Saccharomyces cerevisiae S288C: one gene and its partner. The gene in region 2 interacts genetically with the main gene of each other region. Each region holds a gene or a part of one and is shown on either strand. Other genes may lie near its edges.

Region 1 (2,321 bases), on a different chromosome or scaffold from region 2:
AAACAACAACTTGATCAATATCTTGCAAAACATTGAGCAGATGGACACTTGTTACGTGTGCATCAGACTATTGCAAGAACTGGCCGTGATACCAGAGTATCGTGACGTGATATGGTTGCATGAGAAGAAGTTCATGCCCACCTTATTCAAGATCCTGCAACGTGCCACGGACTCTCAATTGGCCACGCGGATAGTTGCAACAAACTCCAACCACCTGGGTATTCAATTGCAGTACCACTCTTTACTATTGATATGGTTGCTGACCTTTAACCCAGTTTTTGCAAACGAGCTAGTCCAGAAATACTTGAGTGATTTCTTGGACCTCTTGAAATTGGTTAAGATAACCATAAAGGAGAAAGTGTCCAGATTGTGCATATCCATCATCCTGCAATGTTGCTCCACGCGCGTCAAGCAGCACAAGAAGGTGATTAAGCAACTTTTGTTGCTCGGCAACGCGTTGCCCACCGTACAGAGCTTGAGCGAAAGAAAGTATTCCGACGAAGAATTGCGTCAAGACATCAGCAACCTCAAGGAAATCCTAGAAAACGAGTACCAAGAATTGACCTCCTTCGATGAATACGTCGCCGAATTGGACTCCAAGTTGCTGTGCTGGTCTCCACCACATGTCGACAACGGTTTCTGGTCCGATAACATTGACGAGTTCAAGAAGGACAACTACAAGATCTTTAGACAATTGATCGAACTCTTGCAAGCAAAGGTCCGTAACGGCGACGTCAACGCGAAACAAGAAAAGATCATTATCCAAGTCGCCTTGAACGACATCACTCACGTGGTCGAGCTTCTACCAGAGAGCATCGACGTTCTCGACAAGACTGGCGGCAAAGCCGACATCATGGAGTTGCTGAACCATTCAGATTCTAGGGTGAAATACGAGGCCCTCAAGGCCACGCAGGCAATCATTGGATATACCTTCAAATAAAGATATAGAAGACCGTAAAGTAGTAGTGGGTTTGAAGCCTAAATAAGTAGTTTTGTACGTACTATTATTTTAAGAGAAGAACATCCATAGAAAAGAAAAGAAGAAAAAGAAACGAACCAGAAGAGGGTAGCAGAATCAGTCATTCACGCACCCGGCCTGCGCTGCGTGCACCGACTGCGTGCGTGCGTGATTGGTAATGCAGTGAATCATGCTTTTTCATGACGCCTCCTCCCCGCCCCTGAGCCTTCGGTGGCCGCCGAAGTCGGGTATTAATGGGCGCCCCTTTCCTGGTGTCCGGGAACCGCCTGCCGAAAACCACCCTCCGCAGGTCCGCGGAAGGTGGGTGTGGCTGTCCCCGCGCAAATCCGAGATCGATTCCGCGGCGGGTCGGTCATTCTTTTCATTTGCGCGCTAATATGCGCTGTGACTGGCGGTTAGTCATCTGCGTGATCAATCGTTGTCATGACGCTCTATAACGTAAGAGAACTTTAGAGGGGGCTCAATTAGCATGAAGAACAGACACATATATAAGGTCTCTAGATTTCTCCAATAGCTCAACTCTCACAATTGTTTCCTCTAGTCCTTGTAAAATATAAAAAATCATCATCAAACAAGCAACTACAAAACAGCTTTACTGACAACTCACACAAATAACACAAAAAACAAAAATTTCAACAATGGTCGCCTTTTTAGAACTAACTTCTGACGTTTCTCAACCTTTTGTCATCCCATCTCTTTCGCCAGTCTCTCAGCCAAGCTCAAGAAAGAACTCTGACGCAAACGTCGATGACCTGAATCTGGCTATTGCCAATGCCGCTCTTTTGGATGCCTCTGCTTCAAGCCGCTCACACTCCAGAAAAAACTCTTTGTCTCTGTTGTAAGTGTTGTACACGAGAATTAGCACACTATTAGCATAAAAGACACTTGGCATCTTTACTTACTTGGGCAAGTAAGTCACGTACTTTTTTTTTTTTTTCCGGAGCATTCATTGTCATTCTATCTGCACTTTCCCGCACTTACATTCAATAACCTCGGATCGGGTCTCTTCTACGACAGAAACTTTTTGATATATACATATTTATGTAATATAAATACTGAGAAAGTAAAAAAATTTAAAATATAAAATAATAAAAAATTTACTATTACTATAATTGATTAATGTAATCTTTCTTTGTTCAACCGTGCTGTTTAGCCTCCTTCTCGAGAGACACGCGTTTACCGTCGCTGTCACTACATCCACAATCGTAGTCCTCCAGGATGGTAGCACAGTCATATATGTCTTTCTTTAGGTATTCGTTCACCTTGTTGTGAATGTGGCATCCCCACATTGCGGCAGCCGTCCTGCTAGATGTCTGTACGGGATACTTCTCAATCAACTTTA
Region 2 (2,511 bases):
CCAAAAAAGTTAAAAGTATAAGTCTTCTGCATCAAACTAACAGAAAAAAAATTTTTTTTACACTTGAAATGGTTATTGTCTGCTTATTGTGAAGTACGAACATCCTAACAAACGTTGTATGTTGCTTTCTGCGTTTTTCCTTACAGTGCTAGCGTAGAGAATATGAAAAAGAGGGAAATTAAGCAACTGCTTTTTCTATGATTTACCACTGTGAGCCCAAAACTTAACGTGCACCAACACGTGTGCGGCAACCTGGCTGGCCTCTCAATGTAGAAGTAACTGGTTTTCTTCTTGCCCTTTATTTTCTTGTTTTTTAGAACCAATCTCGAGCACTTGGATAATGCAAAACAAATACAATCTATGTCTTCCACACCATCATTTTACTATGCCTGCCACCATACATTTGTCTTTTGCACCATATCTTCATAACCTGTCACCTTGAAACTAAAAAAATATTCACAATGGTGCATGCTTGAAGCACAAACTAGATTAATTTGTTGAGTAAATCATGTGGTTCCAAGGAACAAAAAAAAAAATGCATTACATCACGTTCCTTGCTCTGTATCTCTTCACCTGCAATTACTCAAAAGAAAAAAAGAAATATAATTTTCCTTTGAGCACCCTTGGTAACTTATCTAAGAACACGCGATGTAATCGAAATTTAATAACCTAAAAAAGAAATAGAGATCGGTGACGTTTGACGCTAGCCAATCTCCACGAGATTTATCTGGAAGGGCATCACCCGTCAAAACACTAAGAAATTTGACACCTTATTTTTTTTTCTCCGAAACGTTCTGAGACGTTTCTTTTTTTTTCAGGACGCCACCCTAAATCCGAAAAACCTTACTTGGCATTAGTGTTGTAAAAATTTCTTTTTTCCATCGTGGTTCTGAAAAGCTTGCAGAAAAAAAGTTCGAGAACGTTTTCGTATGACTTATTAAGCTGCCCTTGAACTTGCCTTCCCTCTTCTTTACTATTTTCAGCCAGGGACAGAAATAAAGCAAAATCGTTTAACTTTTATGACCGTAACAGGTAACAATATCTGCTCAATTCGGTTAGTAAAAAAAAAAAGGTTATCGTAGGTTTACTATTTTCACATCGGTGCATAGAATCTATACTCTACTTCCTTTGGAGGGAATTTAGTAGTGCTCGATTAGCAGATAACAGCGCAGGGTTCTATGTAGTACGAAGCACTATCAGGTTTTTTAACGTACGTGAGTTGTTTTTTGTTTCTAATTTTTGGCTTGCCTGGGATAAACGGTGCCCATCAAATTATTAAGACCTGGTGAAAAGAGCGTACCTACATGGGTATCGGGGTTTTTGCCAGAAAGAGCTTTAACTGCAATTGATGCCTACCGGAGATTATTTTGATATCAAAATGCAGGAACGATATCTACTTCCCTAAAGCAGAAAACAAAACATTTTTTTAAAAGTCTTTCTTATATAAAGGTAACCTTCATTTCATGATAGCCAGATGATAATCTTAATGTAACAATTGGAGGATACCAGCATCCCTCCACACCTTCAAATGTCTATACCCCATTCCGTATTTTCGGCACTCTTGGTCTTCGTGGCGCTAGCTACTACAACCTTAGCCAGTACAGAAGCTTGCTTACCAACAAACAAAAGGGAAGATGGTATGAATATTAATTTTTATGAGTACACAATAGGCGACCAAACCACATACTTGGAGCCTGAATATATGGGCTATGAATACTCCAATACAAAGAAGTTAGGTTCCGTTAGCGGACAGACCAATCTCTCCATATACTATAGTCCGCCTTGTGAGAGCACTCCTACCTGTGTGACTTATGCAGTTTTGAAGCGTGATGAGGATGGATATGATCCTTGCGGACCTCTTTATGAAACTAAAAAACGTGACACTGAATACTGTGACCCAAATACTGCCTATTGGAGTTCTGATCTTTTTGGTTTCTATACTACTCCAACTAATGTAACTGTGGAAATGACAGGGTACTTAATATGGAGTATGGGCAACCGACGCCGTTGAACCTCTCCTTGGAGATTCTGATAATTTTATGACCATGACTTCTCGTGCACCTTACAGGAAACTTTAATGGCCTGATAAGTACAGCTATATTGTGATCACAATTATTAAAAACTAACTCATTTCATCTATAACCAAGTACAAATCGCACGACTATCATGACGATAAAAGCGTATATCCTTGATTTAATTCACATCACAATCACCCCCCTTGAAAAAAAAATAAATTTTTTTTCTTGCTATAATAGCATAATTGTCCACAAGTTCACTATTAGTGCTATCATTCTTCCCCACTGCCGCAAAATTGCAAAGGAAATAATTGTTTGCCCTGCAGGAACCATATACTAAAGAAGAAATAGATGCTATTAGCCTCTTCAACTGTCCGTAATCACTACATCTTGAAAGGTAAAATGCAAGTAGCAATGTGTTTACTTAAGGAAGCGCATCTACATCTTCTTTAGAACCATCTGTCGATTCAAGCGGATTAGAAAGAGGAAGCGTGAT

The links. Genes that interact genetically often act in the same process or in processes that back each other up.
Region 1: mutations in YFL051C (region 2) and SPO24 together harm fitness less than expected from each alone (positive genetic interaction), as found in Saccharomyces cerevisiae (one large-scale study listed by BioGRID).

Annotation. Positions count from the first base shown.
Region 1 is NC_001148.4:644,333-646,653, forward strand, and holds SPO24 (Spo24p), read left to right. Parts: upstream 1-1,617; coding exon 1,618-1,821; downstream 1,822-2,321. Other genes in the region: VMA13 (H(+)-transporting V1 sector ATPase subunit H), read left to right, coding at 1-940; ERV2 (flavin-linked sulfhydryl oxidase), read right to left, coding at 2,116-2,321. UniProt on the Saccharomyces cerevisiae protein: Required for efficient sporulation.
Region 2 is NC_001138.5:29,558-32,068, reverse strand, and holds YFL051C (uncharacterized protein), read left to right. Parts: upstream 1-1,528; coding exon 1,529-2,011; downstream 2,012-2,511. Other genes in the region: ZNF1 (DNA-binding domain containing protein), read right to left, coding at 2,440-2,511.